Rattus norvegicus: one gene and its partner. The protein of the gene in region 1 interacts with the protein of each later gene in a biochemical or structural test. Links are inferred from orthologs where the notes say so. Each region holds a gene or a part of one and is shown on either strand. Other genes may lie near its edges. The genes, in order: Gipc1 and Rgs19.

What was found.
Region 2: the proteins of Gipc1 (region 1) and Rgs19 form a complex in vitro, tested with the Homo sapiens proteins (2 studies listed by BioGRID). The link is inferred for Rattus norvegicus from reciprocal best matches to the Homo sapiens genes GIPC1 and RGS19.

The regions. Positions count from the first base shown.
Region 1 is NC_086037.1:41,378,780-41,393,595, forward strand, and holds Gipc1 (PDZ domain-containing protein GIPC1), read right to left. Parts: upstream 5,164-14,816; 5' UTR 5,126-5,163; coding exon 4,838-5,125; intron 4,147-4,837; coding exon 3,961-4,146; intron 3,867-3,960; coding exon 3,686-3,866; intron 3,049-3,685; coding exon 2,936-3,048; intron 2,204-2,935; coding exon 2,122-2,203; intron 2,021-2,121; coding exon 1,869-2,020; 3' UTR 1,346-1,868; downstream 1-1,345. UniProt on the Homo sapiens protein: May be involved in G protein-linked signaling.
Region 2 is NC_086021.1:189,179,480-189,194,559, reverse strand, and holds Rgs19 (regulator of G-protein signaling 19), read left to right. Parts: upstream 1-7,272; 5' UTR 7,273-7,488; intron 7,489-9,265; coding exon of another isoform or gene 9,266-9,341; coding exon 9,342-9,371; intron 9,372-9,509; coding exon 9,510-9,631; coding exon of another isoform or gene 9,632-9,648; intron 9,649-11,096; coding exon 11,097-11,171; intron 11,172-11,261; coding exon 11,262-11,496; exon of another isoform or gene 11,497-11,575; coding exon 11,576-11,764; 3' UTR 11,765-12,112; downstream 12,113-15,080. Other genes in the region: protein LKAAEAR1, read left to right, coding at 2,885-3,002, 3,107-3,501, 3,653-3,748, 3,824-3,883; Tcea2 (transcription elongation factor A protein 2), read right to left, coding at 13,100-13,108, 13,350-13,421, 14,108-14,254, 14,330-14,484, 14,841-14,897. UniProt on the Homo sapiens protein: Inhibits signal transduction by increasing the GTPase activity of G protein alpha subunits thereby driving them into their inactive GDP-bound form. Binds to G-alpha subfamily 1 members, with the order G(i)a3 > G(i)a1 > G(o)a >> G(z)a/G(i)a2.

The DNA of each region.
Region 1 (14,816 bases):
AGCCACTGTCAGATCCATCGTAATGGGAAGTAAACACTGGAGAGCACTCACCATTGCGGACTGTAACATCTATTCCCAATACGGACCCTTGAAATTGATGCTTGCCCACACCTCGGCACTGGAGGTAAATCTCACTGGCACTGTAAATCTGTTCCCAGCCCCAGAGCACACCTCCTGATGTAGTCCCCCTCAGACCAATGCCCATGGACCCCAAGAACTTGTCCTGAGACACATAATCACATCTCTAAGGCCTGGCTGGCTGTTTATCCTGAACCCCCACTGAACACACTGAACACAGCTCCCTGAAACTCAGAGGACCCAAGGCTCACCCACAATACTCACAGCTCTGGCTCGCCCTGGCCACCAACCATCCACTACACATGGCTCCACCCAACAAAGCCACACAATCCCAGCTGCGCCCAGCAGACATGCAAGACCCCAGCACGGGGCTTGGGGTACAGTTCAGTGACGGAGTGCATCCTGAGCATGTGTGAAGCCATGGGTTCCACAATCAGCAATGAAAACGGGCCTGAGATCAGGTGTGGCAAATGACCGCTGGCAAGTAGCCACCTGCAGGGCTCTGTCCCATATCCAGGATACTCATCTCTGCCTGGTACCAGCGAGCCAGCCCCACTCAGCCTTCCTGCAGCACCGCTGCTAGGCTCACCCCCAAACATTCCTACCGGGTGCTAGAGAGATCTCTGGCCTGGCTCCCCTTTTTCCAATTGCCTTCCTTCTCCCAAAGTCTGGCCAGGGTCCCACCCCACCCTTTCCTTGATCTCCCTAAATCCTAGGATAAAAATGGTCTGTCAAAACAAGCTTGGCAGGTTTATGTCTCTGTGAAGCACTGTGCCCCAAGTACAACCGGGCACAACCTGGGTGCTGTAACAGCGCAACAGGCTTTGCTGCCACAGAGGGGTTAGGTGTAGCCTTCTCACACAATAGGAGCATATGTGAGGCCTTGGTGAGTGGGGACCAGGTCTGAACCCCAAGCTAGCCAGAAACTTCAGCACTGCCTGGAAGCTTGATGGCCTCCAGCCAGGGGGAGGGGGCGGTGGGGCAGCCAACTCCTAATTCAATTTGGAATCCAGGATAGATTTCAGCTGCTGCATTCTTCCCCTGGCCACCCCTCCTGCCCCAGAGTCAAACAGCTCCCACAGTAAAATCTCTATATCCAAGGGCGTGTGTGTTGATACAAAAGCCACTGCCTCCTTCACCCCCACCCCCCACCACTGACTAAGGGAGAAGGAACCAGGGTTAACAACCTCCACTCAAATGGGAGGTAACAGAACCCAACTGAGGAGCTCCTGTCAGGTGGGAGAAGCTGAAGGGAGGCAGGAAGAACTGGGAGTGGTGATGCACACCTTTATTCCCAGCACTGTGAATGCAGATGCAGGTGGATCTCTGTGAGTTCAAGGCCAGCCTGGTTTACAGAAGGAGTTCCAGGACAGCCAGAGCTACATAGTGACTTTGTCTTGAAAAAAACAAAGCAAAAAAAGTAAAGTAGGGAGGTCATGACCCCGAAGAGAGCTGAGGCCAGGGGGACAGAAGGGGCAGTTGCCAGCTGATAGTGGGAAGTGTTGGGGATAGAGGTGGCTGGCTGCCTAGTGTGTTGGTCCCTCCCCATGCGCTTACTCTATTGAGGTAGGTGGGGAACCCGGCAGGGGTTGGCCGGGGACCCCAACCAGGCTGGGCACCGTGGCGGTACTGATTGGAGCGGGGCCTGGACCACAGGGCACTTGCAGCCTGTGCCATCCCCAGGCTGCGGAGTTACAGCCTAAGCTGTCAGCCCAGGTCTTGGCTGTGGTTTCTGGAAACCCCAGCTGGGCAAAGCCAGGTTATCTCAAGGTCCAGGTTCAGTCCCAGTCTTAGTAGCGGCCAACCTTGGCATCCCCGATGGCTCCCCAGACATCAAAGACGAATTCATCTGGGAATGCGAAGTCACCGAGCCGTTCATCCAGAGCTTCTGCCAGTTCGTCTGGGTTCCTTTTGTCTTTCCCCAGCTCCACCATCGTGGCAGCTGTCAGGGAGGAGAAAGACGGAGGCACGATGTAGCTCAACTCCGCCTGGGTGGGACCTGGAAGCCTGCTCCCACCTTCCAGGCACGGGTGCCCCACTCACCCAGCTCTGTGTCTCTGATCCCCATGTAGCTCTCTAGCAAGTCATCCACCTTTTCAATGGCCTTTTCCTCAAAAGCTGACGGCTGTAGAGGGTGGGGACAAGACAGTACAGTAATGTCAACAGATGTCAGTGCTGGGGACAGCATGCAGGCATCAGCTCCAGTGGTGAGCTGCATGCACCCACTGGTGTGGCTGCCGCTGTTACTTATTTAATGTAGAGGATCCTTTTGTCTGCACATATCTGTGTGTCCTATGTGTCTGCCTGGTGTCTGTGGAGGTCAGAAGAGAACACTGGACCTCTGGACTGGAGTTAAGAGATGGCCACCCGTCATGGGCACTTGGAACTGACCTGTGTGGTCTGCAAGAGCCACACCTCCTATAAACTGCTAAGCCCATCTCTTCAGTCCCAACATCCAGAAATTACCATTCTCATACCCAGACATATTCTAAGTTGCCCAAACTGGCTTTGAACACTTAACTCCTATCCAGTAGCCTGGAGAGGATTATGGGTACGTATCTACACTGGGCTGCCTTTCATCTATTTTCATATAAGAACCTGGTGACAAGGTCTTACGGTTTGAGCGAATGTGAAATCCTCCTGCCAGAAATTCCGTGCTGGCAGCCCTTTTTGTTTACATCGCTAATGTCTGCTCTGACAAGAAGTCACTGAACCTACTGGACAGGGAGGAGACCCCAGGCTGCCCGATGGACCACCGTAGGTCCCAGAGCTGGTAAGAGTAGGCTTAGGCAGAGAGAGGTGTCCTGAGCCTTTCACATAATTAGAATGGTGTCACCGGCCCGGGGGGCTCACTCACCAGATCCTCCACTGTGGCAGGGCCCCGGGATCGGAGCCGGAGGGTCCCTCGGCCAGTGCCCAGTTGTGGGCCTGAGCCAGGGTGACCACCTGATGAACGCTGGCTGATCATATCTGTAGAAGGCAAAGGTAGTGGGGAAAATCAGCCCACGGTAACACAGTACGCAGGCTTCACACAACCACCTCCCACCACCTTCAAAGTTCTGCAGGCTCCTTGGGTAGGGACTGGGTTCCAGCAAGGCAGGACTTTGCATGGATGGTGAGGGGCAGCTAGGGGCCAGACATAAAAGCAGCTGGAGAGAGAATGGAAGGTAGCTTCTATTTGAAGGAGTGAGGGTTGAGAAGGGTGAGTGTAACTGCTGAGTCTCAGATAAGCCCTTTCTACCCACATCAGGGGTGCCTCAGGCCCATTCCTGAGAGTTAGTGAAGCCAGGTAGAAACGGGGGGGGGGGGGGGGCGCCGGGCACAGGAGCCATACAAGGCAGCCAAGCCTCACTTCTCCAGGCTGAGGGGGCTGGCCAGGGTTGGGGGCACTCGGCTGGGCTAATGGCTCCTGGAAGTCGGGTGTGGGGGCGACTTCCTTCTGGCTGGGCTGTCAGCCAGCACTCAGTTCTAGGGTAGGGTGGGGCTGCCCCCACTCTGCACTGCAGGCTTGAGTGCCACCTGCTGGTGGTTCCCAGGACTACAATCTGTATTTCTTAAGAGCTCAAGGTCAGCCCGGTGGGTGGTCCAGGTTGCAAGAATGGCTCACCAAACGCCTTCCGAGGTTCGGTGAGTTTGAGGGTGAAGGTGCGGCCTCGGGGCAGCTCTTTGAGGAGCCTGGCAACCTCATAATGCCGACAGCCCAGCAGGCTCTGCCCGTTGATGGCTTCAATCATGTCACCCACGCTGATGAGCTGGATGTGGTCAATCACACTGCCTTCCTTGATGCGCTGTGGAGGGGCAGGCATCAACCCTGGAAGCTCCACTCTAGGTCCCATTAAAGACCCTGGCCACTGACTAAGGGTGTGCCACCCACCCGGGCACCTTAATGAAGGCATAGCCGGCCCCGTTGTCGGTGATGGTGAGCCCCAGAGCATCCTCAGACTTGAATACTTCCACCTCTTTGCGCTGCCCCTTGACATGGGCAAAGATGAAGTCCTCCAGCCCGATCTGGCCCCCCAGCAGCTTGTCCATATCCACTTTATGGGTGTTGAGGGTACAGAACATCACCTGCAGAGGTGGGGCAAGATGCTCATCCTTCCTCCCTGGGTCCCCTATCCCAGGGACTGGTAACACCCAAAGCCAAGGAGAGGTCCACTGGCACATCAAATGCTATGAGCAGGATTTCTGTCCTGGTAAAAGCTCAAGAGCTAGCTTGACATACAGAGATCACTCGATACTTACTGAGGGGTGAAGGGGGTCTAGACTCCCACCCAGCCTTCCTACCCATCTCCACTTGAATCTCAGTCCCACTGTTGCCCTCCCAGTGGCTTCTCAGCTTCTAGCTTGGAGTCATGCCTCCAGGGCACCCTGGAGAAATAGAAGCTGCTCCTAACACCCTCCCTCCCCCTCTTGAGGTCCCACAGTATTTGGGGCACAAGCTTCCCAATGCCTTGGAAACCCAGCTGCCACCTGTGGCTGTCATCCTCCAGGACACAGGCTACTTCAGACCTGATGGGAAATCAGTATCTGCAGACCCACAATTTACTAGATTACGAGCCTCGTAAGGCCCGTTGGGAAACCCCCCCCATACCTACTAGGGTACAAGTCTCTCAAGGCCTCATAGGAACTCAGTATCCTCCTGTAGCCACGCCTCCTAGGTTCAGGGGCTGCTGGCCAGCAAGGAACACGAGCCCCAGCTCACAGGAATACATGCCCAGGCCTGTGGCTTGCTCTTAAGGGACCGTGGTCCCACTGGTACCTCAGCAGCCGGTAGTCGGAAGGCCTCAGCGATCTTGCCGTACAGCTCCTTGACATTAGTGAAGCCCTCGATGCGGCCCGTGGGGCTGCCGTGGGCCAGCTGGGTATGGAACACGAGGCGAGGCCGGAGGGAAGCAGGAGGTGGGGGCAAACCCATCTGGGATTCCCCTGCTCCACTTCCACCCAGGGGCCCGGGCTCCCCGACGCCCAGCCCACTCCGGCTTGGCTCCGCCTCCTCATTTTCCACCAGAGGTGGTGCTTTTTTCCTTCGCCCCAGTCCCAGTGGCATGAGCAGCCAGAAGTGGGGACTTGGCCGGGAGACCTGCGAAAGGGAATCGGGCTTCACTCTCTGAGTACCAGCCTTGGGTGCCATCCATCACCACCACATGGTATCGACATCAACCAACATGGTTCTATTTTGCGAAGCAATGTTTCTTAACCCAGGGGCCTGGTGCTAGTCAAGTGCTCCACCACCGAACCCCACCGTGTCTGATCACGTGACTCAGGCTCCCAAGCACAGGGAGCCAGGACACCTCCAGCACATTGCGGCCTATATAACGTTGTGTTGCGTTTGCGTTCTGCTGAGGCTTTCATCGCCCCTGCTTGGCTGGCGCTTGTCCACAGAGCTGCAGCTCCTCCCGTACAGTGGAATCTGCTGTACACATTTAAAGCTATGCAAACTCTTCTTCCGCTGTATTGTCTGAAGAGTAACAACACAAGATTCTGTCCATGGTCAGCATAGGTACAAGGCTCTCTCCGAATCGGCCATTTTGGCCTTGTGCATGTGGACCCAAGCTACAAGTCTAGACTGCCTCTTACTTTTTAGTGTGAGGCAGTTATCTCTCAGTTGCTCAGCTGTCCTTGAACTTGCAATCCTCCTGCTTCAGACTGCAGAGTGGATGGGATTACAGGGAAATAGCAGGACATCTGCCTCACCCAAGTATTTTCTGTATACAGTGGATTCAATCTGGGCACCCAGAGCTGATGTGAACGAAGAGAGGTGACTCCAGATAGCTCCGATGCTGGGGTGCAGCTCAGTGGTGGAGCACGTGCTAATGAGGACCCGGTCTCATCCCAGCATCAGAATGAAGCCTCGCACTGCACAGTAATAATCCCCACAGAGATACCCATTACAACCCCACACCCGCTGCTCTGTGACCTCGTTCAATTCTCCTTCTGGATGAGGCATGAGGCCGTTGGTGCATCCTGCCCTGACCACACCCACTGGAGCAGACAACTGAAGGGAAGATAAAATGCTGGATGGCCCTTTACTTTCCATTTCTCTGAGAAGGCTCTCACTCTGTCGTCCAGGCTGGCCTAGAACTCACCAACTCTACCTCTGTTCATCTTGCAGTGTTGGAGCAGATGGAAACCACCAGACACAGTGTCTTTTCATTTTCTATCAGTTGCAGTCATTAATGCTCTGTGCAAAACCCAAGTTTGGGTCTGGTTTATGTAAAAGAAAAAAACAAACAAACAAACAAACAAAAAACCATGAGGAAAGATGCCCTTGTAAGAGCATCTTACAGAGCTGGAGAGAGAAGGACCCCCAAGGCTCAAAGCCCACCTAGCCTACCTAGTGAGCTCAGGCCAGTGAGAAATCCTGTCTCAAAACGCAAGGTGGAGGGCTGGCAAGATGGCCATCACCCCTGCAGGCCTGAGTTTAATCACCTGGGCCCAATGAAGGGAGAGTGCGCACTCTTGCAAGCTGTCGTCTGACCTTTACATGTGCACTGGGCTATGTGTACTTACACACAAACAAACACGTATGTACACAAGCAAATGCAGTAGTAAACAGCACCCCAAAGTGGACAGCTCCCGAGGCATGAGACCTGAGGCTATCCTCCAGCCAGCTTCCACACACATCTGACGCGCACATATACCACACACACAGGAAACAAAACTCTTCTGAGTCTCTCCCTCACAGCACAGAGTGCATGGTCCCTGCCACGCCCCTTGGGACAGGGCTGGCAGATGACTGGTTCTGCCAATGAGTTGTGGCAGGAAGAGGCGGGCGATGCATCCTCATGGAAACTTAGTTACCGGGGTGAAATCCTCAGAGCAGTACTGCCCCTAGACAAGCAATGGCTGGCCTGTGGCAATGTTGGGCTGCATGGGTCTTTAGGAACTGAAGTTGTGGTGGTCTGAAAGAGAGTGCCTCAAGCCTCATATTTGAATGCCTGGTTCCTGCCATTAGACAGTGGGTCTTGAGGTGTCAAACACTCACTCCAGGCCCGGTCAGTCAATCAGTCAGTCTGTCTGTCTCTGCTTGATGCCTCTGACTAAAGTGTAAGCTCTCAGCTGCTGCTTGCCACAGCAAATCTCAGTACTTGGAAGGTAGAGGAGGCAGAGCTGTACTGTCAAGGCCCACCTGGCCTTCTCTAGTTCCAAGCCAGCCAGCGCTACAGAGAGAAATCCTGTCCCCAGCCTCCAGCACCCACCAAGAGTGTGGACCACTTTGTTTATTCGCATTTAGTGTGCGTGTGGTACACGCCCACTGTGTGTGAGTGTGTGCTCCTGTGCTCACAGATGCCAAAGGAAGGGAATGTCGTCCCCAATCGCTCTCCACCTCGGTCCTTAGAGAAGGGCCTCTGGATGGATGACCCCGCCCCCCCCGCCCCCGCCTTTGGCTAGTCTGGCAGCGCCCCCCCCCCCCCCGCCCCTGGCAATGCAGGTGCCTGGATCAGCCTGGTCCTCGCCCTGAAGCAGCAGCGCCTGTCTGAGCCACTTCTCCGCTCCTTTTATTTCTTTTCTCTCTCCCCCTCTCTAGCAAAGAACATTTTTAGGGGGCGATACTTACTATTTATATCCATGCGCTGATTTATAATTAATTAGTTTTTAAGGACAGGGTTTCTCTGTGCAGCCCTGGCTGTCCTGGAACTTACTCGGTAGACCAGGCTGGCCTCGGACTCACAGAGATCCTCCTACCTCTGCCTCCCGAGCACTGGGGTTGAAGGTGTGTTTAATCCCCCTCCCTGGCTTCACTACATACGAAGCACATAGCACATCTTTGAAAGGTGTGGTTGGAGTAGAGGGAAGGAGGGAGAGAGGCAGGGAAGAGAAAGGGCGTTGAGAGAAGGTGGCACTTTTCTTCTCTTGTAGTGCAGGGATGGGACCGGGGCTCCTGTACTTCATGGACCACACCCATACCCTGATTTCATTTTCGAGTCCCTTGTCCAAAGCAAAAAACCAACCGACCAACCAACCAACCAAAAAGTCACAAGTCACAAGGGTGCCTCATTTGCAATTCCCTGAGGAAGTTCCTTGGCCTTGACTCCTATCTTCAGAGATGTTTCACCTTCTCCTCACCCCACCCCCCATACAGCCCAGGCTGGCTTGCTGTATAGCCAAGGTTGACCTTGAACTTGTAATCCCCCTGCCTCATCCTCCTGAGTGCTGGGAACACAGGTGTACCCCACACCTGGTTAAAGTCATCTCTTCATTATTTTGAGGCAGTCACACTAAGTAGCACAGGCTTGCCCTGACTTCCGGATCCTCCTCCTCAGCTTCCATATAAAGCTCAACATCCTGGTACTAGGAACGACCAGTGCTTTGCGGAGCCTGAGGGGCCGTCCCAGGTAGAAGGGCACCCCGTTGGCTGGATCACTTCCTCCACGAGGGTTCCTTACTCAAGCCATGCATTCTTCTGACTCTGGCGCTCGCTCTACTCCCATCCACTCGCCTACACTACAAGTGGCCTCTGTGTCTTCAGGCTTCCTTTTACCCCCCAGTTTCCTGTCAAGTCAGCTAGTCAGAATGACCCTATAAACACTCTGGTCACTTCCTTCTCTGCTCTGATCGCCCCAGGCATCCCACTGTCCTTTATGCCCCTTCAGCCTGCTCTTCCTTAGCTCCCTCCCTGCAGCCACTGGGGCCTCTAACATGCTTCTCAGTTGGTCAGGCCAGAGCGAGCTGCCCAAGTCTAGGTAGTGGCTGCTCGCTCTGCTGCCCGGCTCTCTCCCCCACCCTACGGCTGGGATGGGTATTTCATGTCTTTGCCTGCTGCTGAGGGAGACCTGTGTCACTCGTGCCTACCCCTCATTATGTGGAACACTGGCTGGCAGCCACAGACACAGCACTGGTGGACGAATGAGTGCCCTGTGTAGCCATTTCCCCAGATCACACGCCCCGCTTGTGACCTTCATCCTGCTCCCAGCACAGTAGCCAGCAGGGGGCGCTGTTTGACAGTGCCTGACAGGGAGGCACTGCTGAATTCTCCAGGCTTTTGGGATAACCAATGGTACCCAACACCTTTTTGTACATTTTTAATGCTCTTGATTGGCTTTTTAGTGAATTGCCTGTTAATTCCTTTTGTTTGGTTTTTGAGACAGGGTTTCTCTGTGTACGCTGTTCTGGGACTCACTCATGTAGGTCAGGCATGCACGACCATCCGTCTTCTTTTTCATCAACCTAAGTCTTTTGTTTACATTATTCTGCTGGATGTGTGTGTGTGTGTGTGTGTGTGTGTGTGTGTGTGTGTGTGTGTCTGACTGTAGGTGCTGCAAAGGCCAGACAGCTCCATAGCTAGATCCCTAAATATAGAGTTAGAAGTAGCTGAGGCCGCCCACCATGGGTGCTGGGAAGGAAACTACACTTGATCTTAGCCAAAAGGCCGAGAAGCGATGGGAAACTCAGGTCCTCTAGAAGAGCAGCAAGCATTGTCAACTGCTGGGCCATGTCTCCAGCCCCTACAGGGCTCATTCATGGATGTGTGGGCACATTCGGAGGTTATTAGGTCAACCTTGGGTATCGGTCTCCAAGAGTCACTACTTTGCTTAAAATTTTTACTGAAGCTGGCCAGATGGTTCAATGGTTAATGCCTACTCTTCCAAAGGACCTGGGTTCAAACCTCGGCATCTACGTGGCCTCATCATAACTGCTTCTAACTCCAGCTTCAGGGAGGATCTGATGCCCTCTTGAGTGCGCAGACATGCATGCAGGTGACACATCCACACACATAAGAAAATGGTGACTTTGACACTAGGCTGGTTAACACAGCAAGTTCTCGGACAACCAGAACTATGTAGTGAGACCCTGTCTCAAAACCAATCAAAAATAAAAACCACACCGTGTGCACGTGTTGCCACAGTGGGTGTGCAGAGACTGTAGGAATCAGTTCTTTCCTTCTACCATGTGGGTCCCAAGGATCGAACTCAGGTCCCAGGCTAGGCAGCAGGAGCCTTTACTGTGCTGAGCCATCTCTCCAGTGTGCCCACTCTATTTATACTGCGAGCTTAACTCAGGGTCTCCCATATGCCAGGCAAGGGCTCTACCACTAATTTACAGCCCCTATCCCCAGCCCTACTTTGTCTTTTTGAAGCAGGGTCTCTCCTGGGACGGAGTTCTCCAGTTGGCCAATGAGCCCCACGGGTTGTCCTCTTTATGTCCCCAGAGCTGGGTACCAACAGCAAGCCACCATGCCTGGCACTTCCACATGGGTCTGTCAAATTCGGCTGGCCCAGTAAGTAATGTACCATGTCAGCTACCTCCTGGGTCTCCATGGCCCCTGCATGGCTTTGTTCTGAGGAAAATGAGTGACTCGTAAGTTAGAACTGAAGACCCTGAGGTGTGGTATGGTGGCCTGGATTCAAGTCCCTCCTTTGTCACTTAACAGCGGCACAGACAAGGCCAAGCTGCTTTACTTCATGAGGCCCCAGTCTCTGCATCTGAAAAATTGGCAGAATTCACATTTCTCGGGGTCCCTGTGGGACCCAAAGACTATGCTGCATGCAGGCTGTCCAGTGCTTTAGCTCATCGCTTCTGGAAACATTATTTGCAAGTGATGGAAACAGAAGCTAGCGCGTTTTATCTGCCCGTCCACCTGCACGTGCATGCGCGCGCGCACACACACACACACACACACACACACACACACACACACACACACAGAGCACTCTACCGCTGAGCCACACTCCCTCCTCTACCCTGCACTGATTCTGGGTGTGGGGGCAGGGGAGCTGTGTACTGTTGAGCCACGCACCCCTCTACTCCTCACTGACCAATTCTGGGCAGGGGCTGTACAGCTGAGCCACGGTCCCAGAACCTTACATCCTCCCTTCCCTGGCCCAGGACCACCCCAGTTCCTATGTCTGGCAAGGCCTTTTCCAGAATTCTCCAGGCAGCCTCCTTGCCGGAGCCCACTGGAGCAGCTCCCATGGTCTACAGGACATAGGCCTATGAACTTATTTATAAGCTACCCTGATGACAGCTCTCATCTTCCAACCTCCCGGCTGTTATTTATCGGTGTCTGTGCACCGCTTGTGTGCTTGGACCATGTGGGTGCTGGGTATCAAAAGTCCCAGCAAGTGTCTACCTTAGAATCCGACCTGACAAAGGGATCCCACAGTATAGAGGGAAAACTCAAAAAAAAAAAAAAAAAAAAAGAAAGAAAGAAGAAAGAAAGAAAGAAGAAAGAAAGTGTCCTGTATACTAGGCACAGCAAACTCCTGTGAATCACACCTCTAGCTTTGTTCCTTGTGTCAGCTATAGGACACTGCTCTGCCCGGGGTGGGTGGGTGTGTGTGTGTGTGTGTGTGTGTGTGTGTGTGTGTCCTCCGCACTGCAAAAGCTATACTGTTCCAGGACCCTTATGCCCAGTGATGCTGAGGCCACTACAGCACTTATGAGGATCTGCAATGGCTGCCCGTTAACTGGTTGCCTATTCCCCACTAGAATACAGGAAATTCTGTCCTGCATTTGGAGTCCTCTAAGCGAAATATGCTGCCAGGCACAATAGCTGTTCAGTATTGGTAGGTGATGGGTGTGTAGTTCAGATGCAAGGCACCTGCCTGCCTAACCTGTGAAACCTTGAGTTCCACGAGGGCTGAATTGTAGAATGTAATGTCATACATTCCCGACTGCCTGTGGCCCAAACAAACCCCCACAACATGACCGCTTGAGAGCTAAGTGTGAGCACCTCTCCAGTCTGTCTGCAAGTTGCTGAAGGGAAGTGGGTTGGATGGATTTCCGGAGTCCAGCACTCTCATCCCAAAAAGGGCCTGAAACTCAGCAACCCTACAGTCACAGTAAAGCCAAGTGGGGGGAGCAGGAAGCAGGGAAAGGGGTTGTTCCTGGGGCTCAGATAACGCCTAGCTTAGGGGACATCACACCTGCTCCCTGGTCGGTAGTCCCTCCCTGCTAACCCCCAGCACAGTATTGCTTCGGAGAGGAGGGCAGGAGGCCTCTGATTCATTCTTGAAAAACCGGATCCTGAAGGTTTCATCTCTCCAGTGTTTCCGGGGCGGGGGCAGAGGGGCAGGAATGCACAGCTTGACTGGTCTTGGCCTCGGTAGCCTGTCTCCCCAGACACCAAGCCTCTATACTTCCAGTCACTCCTCTTCACAGAGAAGAGTGGACAGGGTGGGTGGAAAGGAAACGGGGTTAAGCGACCCGTGGTGTTTGGGCCTTCCCTCTTCAGTTCAGAGAAGGACCGCGAGGGCTACTTGGAAGCTGTCCAGTGACCCGTGGGCGACAGGAGAAAAGCAAAACCCAGCAAGCAGGTGCGGCTCCTTAGTGAATATAAGGACAGCAGTGGGCGATGAGTCCAGGGGCTGGCTAGGGACACCTGATCTCTGGAACTAGTTTCTGGACTCAAAGGATAAGGGTCCCTAAGCCCCATGAGCTACTTACGAGCTGTGTGACCTTGGGTAAATTACTCCACCTCTCTGGCACTGGTGCCTCACTTCTAAAACAAGTTAACAACCCCTCCCAGGAGGGTGTTTTGATTCAACGCTGTGCACCGTAAGTGCCGGACGAGGAAACGCTGGTCCGGGTTAGGGAAGGGGAGGCATCAAACTAGTACAGCTGTTGTTACTGTTATCCGGACCTGGGTGGTCTCCGTGTCCCCGCGGCTTTGGGAGAAGGCCTGGGAGCGGACGGGAACACGGACCCACCACCAACAGGGAGCGTCCAGGGAGCAGAGAGCAGGGGCAGACCGGAGGCCGGGCAGCGGGGAGGGGTCCGTGTTTGGGGTCCCGACGCGGCCAGCTCCACCCCACCGCACGGCTCCACGCCCCGGAGGCCGCCCCCCGGGCGGAGGACACTCACCTGCGCCGCCGCCACCCCGTGCGCCCTGCTCGGTCCTCTCGAAACTCCGCCCGGCTTCTCCCTGGGCCTCCGGCACTTGGGCGGGGCCGGCGTCCCGAGCGGACTAATCAGCGGCGGCCGTGCACACTCATGTCCAATGAGCGCCTCCGGTCGGAACGCTCTGGAGGGATCCCTCCGCCGTACCTCGGACTCCCCCCATCGTGCGAGCAGTGGTCCAACCTTACTCGCTCTAAATGACGGAGGGCTGAACCATTGTGGGGTTGCACGGGTGGGCGGGCGGGTGGACTGGGCGGGGAGCTGGCAGTGAGAGTCAGATGACGGGGTTTGGAGGACCGAGCTCTGTACCCAGGAAAGCGCGCTTTTTGAGAGGTCAGGGAGAGGCCGGAGGGCAACCTCAAGCCTCGCTTCCCTCTCAGAAAGATGCTTTGATTCCAGGGGGTGGACCACAGTGAATAGGGAGGGTCCCGCGTGTCTCTGCCTCTTCCACTCTATACAATAGACAAAGGCGATCGCGCATTCATTCAGTCTTTCAATATTTAAGTGCCTCTGCCTGGTACCAGGCTCGGTCCTGTCTCTACAGACACAAGGACTGAGTATACACAGTGTCAAATACAGGGTGCGCAAAGGCTACGAAGATGGACAGGGAGCTCCAGAGCACTTCCGCAAGCAAAATCGTGTAAGAAGACCCCATGGAACATATCAGAACAGTAGAACACTCGACTTGTCAGTGTACTGTGCGGAATCAAAGCTGACCAACCAGTCCAGGTTTCTACCCTCAGGGAGGATGGACTCTTTTTCGCCACCTTCTTTTTCGTTCTTCTAGGTGCTCTAAGGTTGAATCAAGGCCCACTTTCTCCTCCTCTTGGAGGATCGGCTATTGGGTATTGTGCATGCTGGTCAAGTGCTCAAGGTTGAGCCACTGTCACTGGTGGATGCTGACAATCTACCTCCAAGCCACGTCTCCTGCTTCCCTTTAATGGTTTATCTCCAACTAACTCTGAGTTTACTGTGCACACACTTTGTCATCCACGTTCCTACCTTTTAACACGCAGATACACATACAGAGAAAGAGGGAGGGAGAGGAAGGGAGGGAGGAAGAGAGGGAGGGAAGAAGAGACAGAAAGAAAGAAGAGAAGAGAGAAGACAACGTGTGTGTGTGTGTGTGTGTGTGTGTGTGTGTGTGTGTGTGTGTGTGGAAATGACTTGAATCTTTGAAACCTCAAAGCCCTTCCCCAGTGACATACCTTCTCCAGTAAGGGCAGGGCACACCTCCTTAAGCCTTCCCAAACAGTTCCACCAACTGAAGACTGAAATCACTTTTTAATCTCTCTCTCTCTCTCTCTCTCTCTCTCTCTCTCTCTCTCTCTCTCTCTCTCTCTGTGTGTGTGTGTGTGTCTCTCTCTCTCTCTCTCTCTCTCTCTCTCTCTCTCTTCTTTGTTTCTTTCTTTCCTTTCTTCCCCCCTCCCTCCCTACCTTCTTTTCTTTTTTGGGATAGGGTTTCTCTGGCTGTCCTAGAACTCACTCTCTAGACCAGGCTGGCCTCCAAATCATAGTGATCCACCTGCCTCTGCCTTCCGAGTTCTAGGACTAAAGGTATGTATCATCACACCCAGCAGTGAAGTAACCAAATATTCAAATATATGAAACTATAGGGGTCATCCTTATTCTAAGCACCACATTCCATTCTCTGGATCCTTTAGGCTTGTGGCCATATCATAATGAAAATGCATTTAGTCCAAATTCAAAAGTCCTTACAGCCTATCACAGTCTTGGCACAATTTAAAAGTCTGAAGCCTTTTTTTGAGACTCAAAACAATCTCTTAACTGTAACCCTCTAAAAATCAGATAGCGAATTTCGTACTTCCAACATACAATGGCATGGAATATGCATTACCATTTCAAAGGGGAGGAAAGGGGCATTATGGGAAATACTG
Region 2 (15,080 bases), on another chromosome or scaffold:
GCATGGTGCAGAAGAAGCTGAGAGTTCTACATCTTCATCTGAAGGCCATTAAGAAAAGACTGGCTTCCAGGCATCTAGGAGAAGGGTCTTAAAGCCCACACCCACAGTGACACACCTACTCCAACAAGACCACACCTCCTAACAGTATCGCTCCCTGGGCCAAGCATATAAAACCATCACAATGTCCTTAATCACTGAGTCAGTTCTCACTTTTTCAATATCTGGAGGTTTTTGTTGTAGAGGTCTTTCTCTGCTTTGGCTAGATACATTCCTAAATACTTAACTTTTAGAGTTATTTTGAATGAAATATTTCTCCTGATTTCTTTCTCTGAGAATACACTGGTGATATAAATACTTTGTTTTGTTTTTAATTATTTTATGAGTGAGTATTTTGCCTACATGTATCCTTGTGCATTCCTCCCATTCCATGGAAGCCAAAAGAGGGTGTCAGATCCCCAGGGGCTGGAGTCATAAATGGGTATAAAGTGCCATGCTGGTACTGGGAATTGAATCCAGGTCCCAGGTTCCTTTGGAAGAGAGGCCAGTGCTCTTAATTACTAAGCCATTTCTTTAGCCCCAACTGTTTTTTGTTTCTTTTTTATTTTATGAATTTTGTATCCTGCAACTTTATTGTAAGTGCTCATTACATCCAGTAGTTTTCCAGTAGATTAAGTAGGACCTTTTAAGTAAAGAATTGTGCCATCTGGCTGAACCTAGTCCTCCCCGCACATATGTAGCAGATGTACAGCGTGGTCTTCCTTTGAGTCCCCAGTTGGAGTCAGGGGCTGTCCCGAAAGCTGTTGCCTGTATGTGGAATATGTTCTTCTAGCTGGGCTGCCTTGTCTGGCCTCAGAGGAAGAGGAAGCACCCAGCCTCCAAGAGACCCAGGGTGTCCCCACCACCTCAGAGGAGGAGAGGGGGACGGGGGAAGGATTGTGGGAGGGGGTGACTGGGAGGGGGCAGTGAGTGGAAAGTAAAGTGAATAAGCAAAACATAAATAAGTTTTTTAAAGTATTTCCTTTAAAAAATGTGCCAACTGCAAAGATAGTTTGATTTCTTACTTTCCTATTTTTATCCCCTTTACCCCTTCCTCTTGTCTAATTACTTTAGCTAAGACTCTGAGCACTAAATCAAATAAGAGAGGGGGAGTGGCCGGGCAGCAGTAGCTCATACCTTTAATCCTAGCTCTCAGGAGGAAGAGGCAAGAAGAGCTCTGAGTTCCAGGCCAGCCAGAGCTACACAGAGAAACCCTGACTCAAAAAAAAAAAAAAAAAAAAAAAAAGGAAAAGGAAAAGGAAAGAAGAAAAGAAAGAGGGATTGGATAGCCATGTGTCTTTCCTGATTTTTAAGGAAATGCTTTTTCATATGTAGAATTTGGCCAATATGTGTATGTATGTAAACAGATGTACTTATGGCTATGGAACAATGTATAAAAAGGAAAACAAGAAAGGCTAAATATTAGAGACTGAAGAACTGAATATAAGTAATGGACACAAGTTATAAAAGAAGTTAATTGTTTTCCTAGCTCTAACTCTGTTGTAAAATTTTCAGGCTTGGTGGTGGATACATGCATAAAAATATATTCGATATTGAAAGAGTAAAATCCAATGTGAAGCTCCAGCTTCTATTTCAAACAGCTATTCCAACTGTAGAGAAGTTCACTGAGTGTATAGATGTGGGGTCTTGTTAATTTTGGCATGTGATTTTTTTTATTTGTAAGTGTTTTTTTAATAATAAAAGTAGATTTAAAAATTAAATTAGCTGGGCAGTGGTGGTGCACACCTTTAATGTCAGCACTTGGGAGGCAGAGGCAGGCGGATCACTGAGTTTAAGGCCAGCTTGGTCTACAGATCGATTTCCAGGACAGCCAAAGCTACACAGAGAAACCCTATCAATCAATCAATAAATAAATATTAAACTACGGTAGTTATTTTTTTAAATCACTAAATCAATGATTGCGCCATAGATTATAGAACTTTAAGGCCTGCCATCCAAGTTTAGAGGAAGTTAGGGTTTGGTAAACCTCTAGACCCCTGAGATCCCAAACTTGCTCCAGAGTCGATGAAAGGAGGTACTGAGTTCCTACAGGGCTTAAGGTGGGCCTTAGTCACAAAGGTATTTTGTAGGAGCTCTGCCCAGAAAGCTAGCTCCAAAGAGCCTCTACAGCCAGAACCCAGCCTCCAAGACTGGGACAGTGAATCTGAGACACAGGGTCACTTCGAAGGAAATGTGGGAGAGGACCTGAGGCAGGTTACAACACACACACACACAACACACATGCGACTCTAATTTCTGCATCTTATGGGCGTACCCCATTGTGCTGGGGAGCGGGCGGGGCTCCAGGTTGCTAGGCAACATGGTCAACAAACCCAAAGATTGAAAACCGAGGTGAGTCTTCCCACTGAAAGGGAAGAAAGTATGAGGTTGTGAGGACCTGGGTTGGGGAGGCCTAGATGTTGAGCTGTTAGGTGGGCAAGGGGTTAGACAAATTGAGGGAAGAGCATTCAACTGTGTCTCTACTTCTCACCCACAGAAAGTCAGGAGCTTCTGCTAGGATGAAAATGGTTGCTAGGGTTGGTTTTCTTTCCCTTTCTGAGCCATTCCTCTTTTGTCTCTTCTTCCCTGGGTTCTGCTCCCCACGTCTTTGCCATAAGGAGATAGGCCAGAAGAACAAAGGCTTAGCTTCCCTGTGAACATATGTACACTCAGATCCAAACACACATATACCTACAACACCATTCACATACACACTCAAACACAAGGTGGGGTCCCCTGTCCAAGGTATCATGAAGGGCCATGTCCTTACCCCTACCCCAACCAAAGACTAGGGATCAGGGAACAGGATCAAACCAGCCTCTGATGGTCCAGAGTTAGGGGACGCTGAATGGCTTATGACCATAGTGATGCGAGCTGTGGAGCAACAATGGCATGTAGGACAATTGAGTATACTACTGAAACTGGAGAGGATCAGAAAGTCATGGCCTACTGCAGATATACACAGGGTCAGCTACCAGTTTAGGAGTTAGGTGGCTACAGGAAGTCCCATAGAAACAGAACTGGAGCCAGTGTTCCCCTAAGTGGCTGGACATCCCCTTTTCTTCCACAGACTGGAGCATGCCGACCCCAGGAGTAAAGGGCGCACGAGAGCAGGCCAAAAAGAGTGCACCTGTAGCTGGAGCTGGTGAGAAGCGTAAGAAGGGCCCATGGACTACAGAGCCTCCGAAGCCAGGCTGGGCACTGACTCAGGAGAAGCTGGCAGCCATGTCCTCCACAGTACGCCGACGCCACCTGCTCTTCAGTGACCTACTTGACATGGTTGAAGTAGGCTCCATGTTTCCACGCGAGTCGGTGGAGTTATCTTACTGCATGCCCGACCCTCGCATCTGGACACAGGCATTAGAGCTACCATCTGAGCGTCAAAATCGGCTTCTGGGCATCCTTAAGGCCGCGGAAGCCCGGGGCCGAATCCGTGCCCTGCGGTTGCGCTACACCCGAATGCGGGTAGGTAGAAGGGAGAGGACCCAGTACGCGTCTTCTAAAGAGGGCTCACCCTGCAGGGGGAGGGAGGGTATTTTTCTAGGGCTCTCGCTCGCTCGCAGGGTTGCTTAGTAAACTTGGTTCCCAGGCAGAAGAAATCTCTCTCCTGATCCAGAAGCAAAGATGCGCGCGCGCCGCCATCCGACTGGAACTGTTCCTACCACCCCAACTGAAGCCCACGAAGATCCCTGATCCTTTGGACCGACAAGAGGTGCGGGGAGGCCCCAAGACTGGTGGGAGGGTCCCGTGCCTCGCCACACACTAGCCCCAGCCCCTCTCTCTGCAGCGGAGACGTGTTGAGACAATCCTGGAAGAGGAGGTAGATGGCAACATCTTCCCGCGATGACCGATGACCGCGACCTTGGCGTTCAAAGACCCCAAGTTACAGCGGCTCTCCACTCTTATATAAAGTTCTCTTCTGAGGGTTCTCAGGTCTTTCCCCTCTTTTTCTCCTGGACCCCCACATGGATGCTGCCTCTCCTACGGCCACAGCCAAAGAAGTAAGGAGATGGCGGGTGGACACTCCTATCTCCCAACAGCCTGCAACTGGTGCCCTTCAGGACCATGGATGTGGGAGGCTTCTAGTGTGGAAAAGGATAGGGATGAGCCTACTTAGACACCAGCACCCCCAGAAATCGGGGCTGTCTCCAAAGTTAGGGTCATTCCATCTAAGGACTAGGGTGGTGTTCTGGGACGGGGAAATGACTGCAAAGCCAAAACAGGCCTTTGGAGAGTTCAGTTGTGCCCAGAGGACCAACAGGTTGTAAATGGGATGTTCACTCCAAGGTCTCTGGATGGTGGGACAGAAAAGTCACCCATAGCCTCCCTTTCATCAGAAACAGCCTCCTGGGCCCAGTCATGCACCAAACACGGAGCACAGGAAGGAAGCCACCCATCCCATTCTGACCACTGAACTCTTAAAAGTCCCTGGTTTCTGGGCAGCTCTTTTTCCTCCTCTCCACAGCACTGGCTCTTTGCAGAACCTGTGGCCTCTTGGCTCCCTGTCCTTGTCCTCCTTCCAGTCCTTCCCCATCAGGCTGCACAGAGGTGGACGCTGCAGGGAGAAAGATAGTTCCCTGCTCTTGCATGGGGGCTCCCACTGGTTCTGCATGAAATAGAGAACAGAATGGAGGAAGAAGAGATCAAAACTGTGGTCCAGAAGGATCTTACTTGCTGATGGCTAGTTCCCAGGGTTCTGTTTCCGCAGCTGGTCTTCTCCCCCTGCACATGACCCTTCTTACTCTCTGGCCTGTTGCTGCTCTAGGCCTTGATCCAAGCCCAGACTGCAGCATTCACAAAACAGCAGCAGCTCTCAGGAGGGGGGCAGATTTCTGACAGTGGGGAAGATGACAGAGGCAGGGAAGTGGTAGGTTTGGACGTGGGTATGGACAAGGAAAAGGACACAGTCTCTTCATCCAGGAATGATGATCTCTCTCACACACAGATGTAGATCTCTAATAACAACTACACTACAGGACAGCCAATGCTGAGCTCCTCTGGCCAAGCTCTAGACCCTAGAATTTTGTCTCTTAAGAGATTCGCTAAGTGAAAATTTCCATCTACTTTGTAAAGTTGTGCCATTGTTCCATCACCTTTCTGACCCTGCATTTCTTCCTGGGGGTTCCGCAGTGTCCAAAACAGTGAGTAATCCACATAAGTACTTCAGAACAGAGGGCTGAGAACAAAGGCAAACATCAGAAGGCCAGCACTCCAATGGCACAAGAGCTCCACACCACGTGCCAGACCAACTTAAGAGTGCCACTTGCTCTGCGCACCAGTGAGGGAACTGGGTTTACAGATGCAGCTAGGGAAGTTGTCATAGGATCCCTCTGTCTGAAGAAAATCCTACAGGAACACAAAGTCTGTGGCCCATGCACAATCAGGTGGGGCTTGTGAGGAGCTGGGGTCTCTGCTCTCAAGCAGAGTAGATTGCGTTCCAGTTCCAATCCCAATGACATCACTTACTCAGTGCTCCTGGTCTCCTTCCTTGACTTGGAGGCATTTTCTGTGCTTAGGGAAAGGTGCTAATTGTGTGGAGGGCAGATGTAAGGTGGCAGAGAACAAGGAGATAGGTGTGTAGAAGGAAATAAGAGGAAAGTGTACTGACTTCTACCCACAGTCATGCCCGCACCAAACACTGCAAAATCAGTTTCTTTTTTTGGCTTCCATCAGATACTCATCCATTTCTATTGGGCCTCCATGTTCTGACCCATGTCCACCTCTCAGAAATATTACTTAACTAAAGTAACTGTTCCTGTTTACATAGGCTTCTTAGCCTCTACCTTTGGAAGCCATTAGCTTGGCAGCCAAAGGGTTCTGTGGTTAACTCATAAAGCCCCACACCCCTCCCTCCAGAGCCTGGTAATCTCTCACCCATTGTTCTCTCTTCATCCTGGACCCCTGAGCATCATGGCAACATCCTGCCTCCTCACCTCTCACCCCATCCCATTGTTGCCTGTCTCCCACTCTAGTCCACTGCAGTCATTTCAGTTACTCTGCCTCTGCCCCGCTGCCTGAAGAGCTCATGTGAAGCCTCTCTGACTTAGTATGTATGATTTTAGTATGTGAACACAAACAACTTGTGTGACTGAACATCATTTTGTTTGCAAGACACCAACACCTGAACTGGTCAGGCTGTGTGCCCAGTGCTAAGAAGAACAAGAACCATATGGCCCAACGGACCACACTCTACAGACCAAGTGTAAAGCATGCTGGGATAATGAACTAATTCAATTTTGTACCCAGTGACAAAGGATCTGAAGAGTTGACCAAAGAGCAAGGCTATTTGTGGTAAAGGTTATCTTGGAGCAGTTTGAGAGTTCAGAAGGGACTCAACCAGGTCCCAGAAACATTCGGGGTGATTTGATGGAAGAACCTGCTTTCATGGTGCCCACACGCTGCAGTTCCTGAACCTCCCTTTTGGGGGTTGCGGGGTGGGGGGGGATTTGAATGCTGAGTGACAGACAGACTGTTAATGCTACATTACAGACCAGACTCAGAAAGGCGAAGAGTCAGCCAGACCGGGCAGTACCACGGGCCAGTCCTTCTCAAAGGCCTCTTCTAACCCAGGCGAGCCAAGTAGCACACAGGGCTCAGCTCTGGTGCCCAACATTGCACTACCACAAAATTGCTGGGAAAACTCAGCTAACTAGAACGGAGCGCCGGCTCAATCCACTGTCTCTGAACGACTCACCCCTCAGGGTCATCATGCCACGCTACCGCAGTACGACACGCCAGCCGCGGGTGGGGCACCGGAGCGGGCGCGGGGCGGGGCACTGCGGGCGAGCGAGCAGGCGCTGGGGCTCGAGGAAGTCCCGGCCCCTCTCTTTGGGGAAGTACCGCGGAGGCGCCTGCGCACTGCGCCTGCGCCCCCTCCCCGGCGACCAGCGGGACTTCGGAGCGCGCGGGTGGCGTGACTCGGGGACGCGGCGGTGAGTGCAGCGCTGGACCGTGGACGGGCCCCGGCGATATAGATGCCGGCTCTGTTCCCGGACTTCAGTGACCGGTCCACGTGGACCTGGGTCGCAGTAGGACCGGAGCCCACCCCTTGCGCGTGGGGGAGGGAGAGCCGCAGCAAGGTTCCCCTTTTCTCCAGCTCAGAGCGTTGAGAAGTGATTGCTCAAAGGTGGGGGCCGGAAGAACCCAGGTTTCCGTGTCTCCTGCCCGCTAGCCTGGTGGGGAGGGGCCAGACGAGACACCCGATCTGCCACCTTAACCACCCTTCGAGTTGGGTCCGCTAGTCAGTTGGCCTGGCGAGCCTTAGGGGTGAATGCCGCATCCCCGGCCCCATCGGAGCGGAACTCCGTGAGCCTTTCTACCTCGCGAGTGCCCGGGAGTGCGTCTTGCTGTCTGACTTAAATCCTCGCTGCTTTAGAGCACGCCCCTTCGGCAGCCAGGGTGGGGCCCAAACCGAACCTGGCCCTCCCGCCCCCATCTGCCTTTCGGTCGCTGGTGAGTTGGGCGCCATGGTGAATTCCTTAAGAGAGGGGTGGGGGCGTCAGAGACTGCAAGAGGGACTGCGAAGTGACCAACCCTCCAGACGACCCCATCGGCAAAAAAGCAGGAACTGGGTGGGGGCCTACCATTCCACAGGTTAGCCATGGTGAGAGGCCTGGCCTGCCATGGAGGTATAGGTAGGACAATGACAGTGTTGAACGGAAATGAGAACGGACCCCCTGTCAGCGCCCCCGCCAAAGGTTATGACTTTTTTTTCTGGAATTTATCTTTTTTTTTTTTTTTTTTTTTTTTGGTCTGGGTGGGCTTGGACATTCTTTTTGCTTCTGTGGAGCAACACCGACAGTCATTCACCAGGGAGCTTCTGTCCCCAGAGAGCAAATTTACTGAATCTGGCCTCTTAGCATAGACTTGGGAGGCCAATGCCTGGGAGGCTTGGGGAGGAAAGGAGCCCTTCAATAGCTGGATGTGGGACTGGACAACCCTGATTCAGACTCTAGGCTTTCCTTGCCCAGAAATGAAGCAGTAGTGAAGAGCACCCTGAAGGACGTGGGTGGTCCCAGCTGACCTTTGATGGGTGCAAGGAGCTAGGACCAGAGCCTGTACCAGTGCACCCACTGGACCCCAGCATCCAGGCCCCATGTCCAGTCAGCTGATTGGAGATGAACCCTATGAGGGATGGTCTGCAGGGTGACAGAATGATGGTTTTGGAAAGCATGGAGACCTCAGGCTACTACACCCCTTTTCCCTACTTGCTGTGTCCTGATTTACTTGCTTGGAGACTTGGGAACCCACCATCTCAGAAAGTGTCAGGTGGTGAAGCTGCCCAGAATATAGTGATCAGACAGAAACAGGATTAAAAGGCCTCTGCTGGATGAAGGACCACAGGAGGGTAAATTTCATTAAGAAAATGTGAGCCCCAGACAGATGAGAGGAAGCAGGGAGAGGGCTTAAAGCCTGAGTGGCCTCCACCTGGACAGAAGCAGCGGGCACAGGCTGGGGAGAGAGGAGGCACTCAAAGCTCCACCAAGGTGCTGATTAGATGCTTCTGTTTGGGGACACTGGAATTTGAAGTCAGCTTTCGGTGGCCTAAGGGATTCCTAGAACCCCCTGTGAAGGTATGGTCCAACATCAAAACTGATAAACCATAAGAAAATCCACCGAAGAGCCCAAGGTTCTTGCTAAGCAGTTTATCCTCCTACATTGCCACACTAGCTTCTGTATCCTAGGGAGATAGATGGAAACCAGGGTAAAAGTGGGATTATCTGAGGCAGCTGAAAACCAAAGAACCTTGTTCCTGAGTAAACACCTCTCATCAGTGCGTAGCCCATTCCTCACACTTCCAGAAGTCTTGTTCTGAGTCCCAGTCAGGTACTCAATGCTTCAAGCCTAGCACCTTACAGTCATCTGGGTAGCATCTCTACCCATCTCCCTAGAGGAAGGGAGTGGAGGAAGGGAGTAGTCAATATCTGACACCCTACATACCAACTTGTAGCTCCAGTCCCCTTGGGAGGGGCTAGGAGCCGGAAATCAAGAAAGAGGAACCCAAGTTTCCGGCTTCTCAGGGACTGAACAGATAGATAGGGGTGTCTGTGGAAAGCCCAGCTGCAGTAGCCTGTCACTGACTCAGGAATCTCCACATGGTATAAGTAATCAGGCTTAGGGTAAAAGGCTGGGGCAGAACTCTGACCAAGCCCTGAGGTGGGTGCACAGGTTACAAGGTTGGTGGGCCAGCATCACAGGCTCTCAGTCAGAATTCCAACCTTCTTCTCAGATCTGCCAGGCTCCTATGCTGCACTGAGAGTCCAGAGCTGGCACCACAGAATCTGGGCAACCCCCTCCACTCACCCATGCCCACCCCACATGAGGCTGAGAAACAGGTAGGCACTCCTCGCCTCTTATTGGGTCCCTGGACACCTGGGGTTCAAGATATAACCTTGGGGACATAGGCAGATGGGCAGAGACAGAAGGTCCAGTGAATTCTAGAGCGGAGGTTGAGGCAGCCCCCTCTTCCTCAGCACACAGGGCCAGAAGAGGCAGACAGGCCTCCCTCGATGTCCAGCCATGATGCAGCCCCCTCAGGACCTCCCAGTCGAAATCCCTGCTGCTTGTGCTGGTGCTGCTGCTGTAGCTGTTCCTGGTATGTGGACCTTGGAGGTACAGCTTGCCCTGGGAAGACCTCAGGGCATTTGGGAAGGGGTACATGGCTCATGGGGAGCAAAACCAGAGTATGTAGGCCTGGGAGTACATGGTTCATGAAACACAGAACAGGGGTATGTAGTCCTGGGAGCAGCTCATATAGAAGGACAGAAGCATGTGAAGCTGTGATGGGGTTGTCATTTAGGGCTTATTCCTGGTCCTGGTCCTTAGACCCACCAAAGGCTTCCAAGAAACCATTGAGCCCCTGCCACAATATCACCCTGCCCACAGACTGCTAGACCTTGTTGGCTGGTGGGAATACCCAGATCCTAGGGGTCTTTCTATGGCTCTTAAATGTTGTATTTGCCTGAATATGTCTGTGTGCTGCAAATATACCTGGTGCCTGAAGAGCCAGACGGAGGTGTTGGAACTGAAACTACAAACAGTTGAGAGCGAATATGTGAGTCCTGAGAATCAAACCAAGGACCTATGGAAGATCAGCAAATGCTCTTAAATACTGAGCAATCTCTCCAGCCCTTTTTACACCTAGTGTGCTGGGGACGGGGGTGGTAATATTATATTGCAAGAGCAAGCAAGTGGCAGTCATATGGTGTCCATGCACTCACCATATACCTGTGTATACCACTGAGAGCTGCCCAGATCCTAGACTGTGTGCAGTAGGGACACATTTAGATAAGGAACAGCTGGCCCTAGGCAGAAAGGTATTTGAGGTTTGGGGATGTCTGATGGCAGGAATATAGAAGATGGTAGAAATTTTCTACCTTAACAGCAATCTGGCCCTACAAAGACTGAGGGACTCAAAGTGGGATCTGTTGAACAGCAAACCACCCAGAACTGTGTATAGGCAAGATACAAGGAATAAAATGTGAATAGGCAGGGCTCATTGGAAGCTTGAGCCATGTTGTTGCTGAGAAGCCAGGCCTAGTGGGAACTGCATTCTCTCCATAACTTGGGAATGAGATGTACATTGTGCCTGCTGAACAAAGACTGACAGGAAGAAGCTTCCCTTAGAAGCAGGGTTCAGGATCCAGGACCAGACAGGTATAGTCACACTAGAGAGGCTCTTAGCCTACATCAGCCAATGAGTCATATTACTATGTCCGCAGTGTGGATTTTTCAGTGGCCTCAGGAATGAGCTGGAACTAGGCTGAGAAGTATGGTTCTATCTACCCAAAGAGAGGAAGGGGTACCAGGAACCTTAAGAGTCCAACTGCTGACCAGTATAGAGAGCACAGTGGTAACCAGAACAGCAATCTGCATAAGCCACTTCAGTGGGGGTGGGGGACGGGACAAGAGGATGTGAAGAAGGCTCACTGTAGGAGCTTCCTTCCTTCCTGGTAACAGATTTACTGGTGCTAGGTACCCACATACCAAAGCATACATAGTCACAGTGGTGTGTGGAGAACTCAACTGCAAAGGGCACTGCCACTTTACTTTGCCACTAGGAACCAAGAACGGCAACGAGCTTGGCAGGTTTCCCGGGAAAGCAAGCTGCAACCCCTCCCCAGCTGTGAAGTCTGGTGAGTATAGCCACCATTGTGTAGGCATGCATGTATGTGTACTTGTGTGCATGTCTCAGGCCTGACATGGTCTGGCCCTAATGTCTGCAGCACTCCACCAAGCCCTGAGGAAGTACAGAGCTGGGCACAGTCCTTTGACAAGTTGATGCATAGCCCCACGGGCCGCAGTGTATTCCGGGCATTCCTGCGCACAGAATACAGTGAGGAGAACATGCTCTTCTGGCTGGCTTGTGAGGAGTTGAAAACAGAGGCTGACCGACATGTGGTGGATGAGAAGGCGCGACTTATCTATGAGGACTACGTGTCCATCCTGTCCCCCAAGGAGGTGGGCCAGATGCAGGGATGAGTGGGGGTGACCTGGGAAGGCACTGCCCCTCCCCCTGACCTTGGTGCCTGCCACACAGGTCAGCCTGGACTCCCGTGTTCGAGAAGGCATCAATAGGAAGATGCAAGAACCATCACCACACACATTCGACGACGCACAGCTGCAGATCTACACCCTCATGCACCGGGACTCCTACCCTCGCTTCCTCACCTCCCCCACCTACCGCTCTCTGTTACTCCAGGGGGCCCCACAGTCCTCTGAGGCCTAGGTCATTTGTCACACAGATGTTCTCCCATGGGCAGCCTAGGGGTGGCCCTGCTCCACTTGGCTGAAATAGACTGCAATGCCATGTTCTGCTCTGTCCTAGCCTGCTCCTACTGGGGGTTCTCCTACATGGTGCCTCAGACCACCACCCTCCAGTCGTGTGCCCAGGAGATGTTCTCATGGAGAACATCCTGTATAGCAACAAGTTTGTAGCAGGAGAACGTTAATTCCTCAGAAGCAGATATAGAACCTCAGAGTCAGACTCAAATGAAGAGCCCATTTATATTTTATATATTAACTTTAAAGTTGTCCATACTGTATGTTTTATCAAAAGAAAAAAAGAGACCTTTCACATTTGTGTGTATTCCTCTACATGCCAAAAACATGATATAGTATTCTGTGTATTTTAAAAACAGAAGCCTCTGTTTATCCCACAGTTGGAGGAGGAGGAGGTTGGAGAAAAGGACTATCTATCCAGATTCTACCTTGTGTGCTGTCCCATAGCATTGGCCTTAGTAGGTGACTATTGTGGGCCCTGTCCAGGGTCTGGCTCTAGAAACTGGCCTCAACTCTACAGTGGTCAGCACCCAACAAAGGCTTGAGATGCAACTGGAGATGATGTAAAACCTAAAACCCTTGTGTACTTGATGAAATGCCTTTCCAGAGGCTGGTGGGGACAAAGCGGATGGTATGGTCTTTCCAAAGAAGCTAGGCACAGCATCTTAATCTTACCGGTCCAATAAAGCAACACACTCGCTACTTTGTTCTTCCAAGTTGCTGGAAGTTTCAGCAGTTTGAAGCTAGAATTAACTTCAGCTCAGAGACCATCCTCCACCATGGGTAAGGGGAGTGAAGGACAAAGTAAAACATCCTGAAAGGATACCAGGTCCTCAGGCTGCCATACCTAGTGAGAACGGGTGAGCACTGGGCAAGTTCCTGCACCAGCCCACACAGCCAGCATGGTGGTGCACATACAAGCATTAGCAATATCCTAGAATCATACAAACAAGGAATGTCTCCAACATTAGACAAGCTCTTGTCTATAGTGTTGCCCTACCACAGCTTAGCTCAAGTGTTGTCGGAGCCCAGAGAGGAAAGATCTACAGCGGTGGACGGATAGGACCCAGCTGAAGCCTGTGTTTAGCCCATTAGGAGCAAGGCCAGAGGAAGGCAAAAAAGAAACATTTAATGATGAGGGGCAAAGGGCAGGCAGGTGCACACCAGGCAGGCTGGAACGGGGCATGCCACCTGCAGGGTATCTCCAGAGAAGCTGTGTCCACCAAGAGCGTTGCAGGAGGTTCAGGGTTAGCCATGGCCAGGGCTACATCAGTACAAGGACTCAGCAGAACTGCAGGAAGGCAGGAAAATGTCTAGCCAAGGCCCCACATGACCCCCTGGGTAGAAGTGGGTTAGGCTCCATCCCAGACTCCCAGGCAGCTAGGAGTCCCCAGGACTCCTAGCCAGGAGGAGACTCCCAGCCTGCCTCCTCCCCACCCCCACTCCCACCCCATCTCACCTCCCACCCCACCCCCGCAGTTCCTACTTCAGGCCCAATATGCATTGAGACAGGACTGGAGGCAAACACCTACCTTCCATCGATTCCCACACTCATTGCAGACAACATAGGTGGTCATGGGCTCATCAGAGCTACGGGTCTGCACCTGTAGGGTGGGTGGCTGAATCCCTGGTTTTGCTGCCCGGATCTGGGCAGTACTGGTCTTATACCCGCTGATCTCTATTGATGATTTGAAACTTCCCAGTGAACTACCCCAACCTTCTAGAACTAGACCTCTGGAGGAGGTAGGTTGTCATGACAGGCCTTTGTGGCCCTGAACAACTGTGCTCAGTTGAGTCTAGAATATTGGTTAAGTGCAGGATTCCCAACAGGAGGGTCTAGAAAGTAAAAGGATCAGAGATGCCTTGGGGACTCAACAGCAAACATCCCACAGGGCCTGAGCTGTGGGGACTGAGCTGCTCTGCCCCTCAGGTCCAGCCCTCTGCAGCCTATTGCAGATGATGGAAGTTCCCATAAGCCCTAGAGCTTCTACCAGAGAGACCATCTTAGTTTAGTCCCCTCTTCCCAAGCTCCCAATGTCCCATGGAAACCACATAGCCTTCCTAGAGTACCTCAGCTTCCACCTCCATAGTAGGACCTCAAGGTCCCACAGCTACTGACAAACAGCATGTTCTACTCCTATCCCATCCCTCCGTGATAGGCATGGGCAAGCCACCGAGCCCTGGCATAGAGCCTCAGGCCAAAAGCAGGGACACAGGTGATACCCAAGAGGAGGAGGAGTGCACCCTGCGGCCCCTAGACAGGAGGATGGAGGATGGTGTAGGCCCCGACCTGCGTGTAGGTGCAGTTCTTCTTCCTGCACTTGTTGCAGGTGAACAGGTCGGTCTGTGTGCCACCTGTACGGGCCATCTGGTGCTCTCGGATGGCCTCCTTGGTCATAGCCTTGCGGATCTCCTTCAGCTCGTCACTGGCCATCTCCTGATAAAAAAGGTGACGTATGCAGCCCACAGCTCTGTAGAGACAGCCGGCCCCAGCCCTTCCAGGAGAGCTTACCTCTGATGTCATCACAGCTATCTGCTGGGGTGTAATGGCACCACACAACACATTCCGGCGTAGGCCAGGGTTCTTGGCATCTTTCAGGTTAGAGATTCGGCTCCGAACACGGTTCTTGTACTTCATGTCAGTGTTTCCCACATCCAGGAAGATGCGTGCAGGTATTTAAGGACCCATCTGAGGTTTCTGAGCTCCTCCCCCTCCTGGTAGTCATATGGGAAATGTTCTTCCCAGGCTCATGGAGAGGAGTCTACCCACTCAAGACCTGTGGGGGACCCAAGGGTCTATAGTGTTCTGCCTTCTCTAGGCCCACTCCTATTTGAGACCCAGATAAATCTACTAAGTAGTCATAGCCCCTTACCCATTTATGGCCCAGAAAAGGTCAAGGGACCACCCAGAAAGGGCACTGGGTAGCCTACCAGTTGTGTCCAATAGCTACCAGAGAAGCACAACTCAGTGGACGATAGACTCTCTCAGAAGCCCTTAACCATTTACCCTACACAAAGGATATACTCCTCGATCTGAGATGACAGATGCTCACAGCTCACACCAACAGCCACGTGGTCGTCTGTAAGAGGGAGCCTCGCTTGTTTCCCCCACCATCTTTTTCCAACTGCCACCCCTCTGCTTGCACAGAGCCCTAGAAGCTAAACGGGACACTTGCATTCCAGGGAGACATTTCCCACCATACAGATGTTATGGTGACCTCAAAAACCTTAGCCTCTCTGCTAGGTCACAGCGAGCTAAAGAG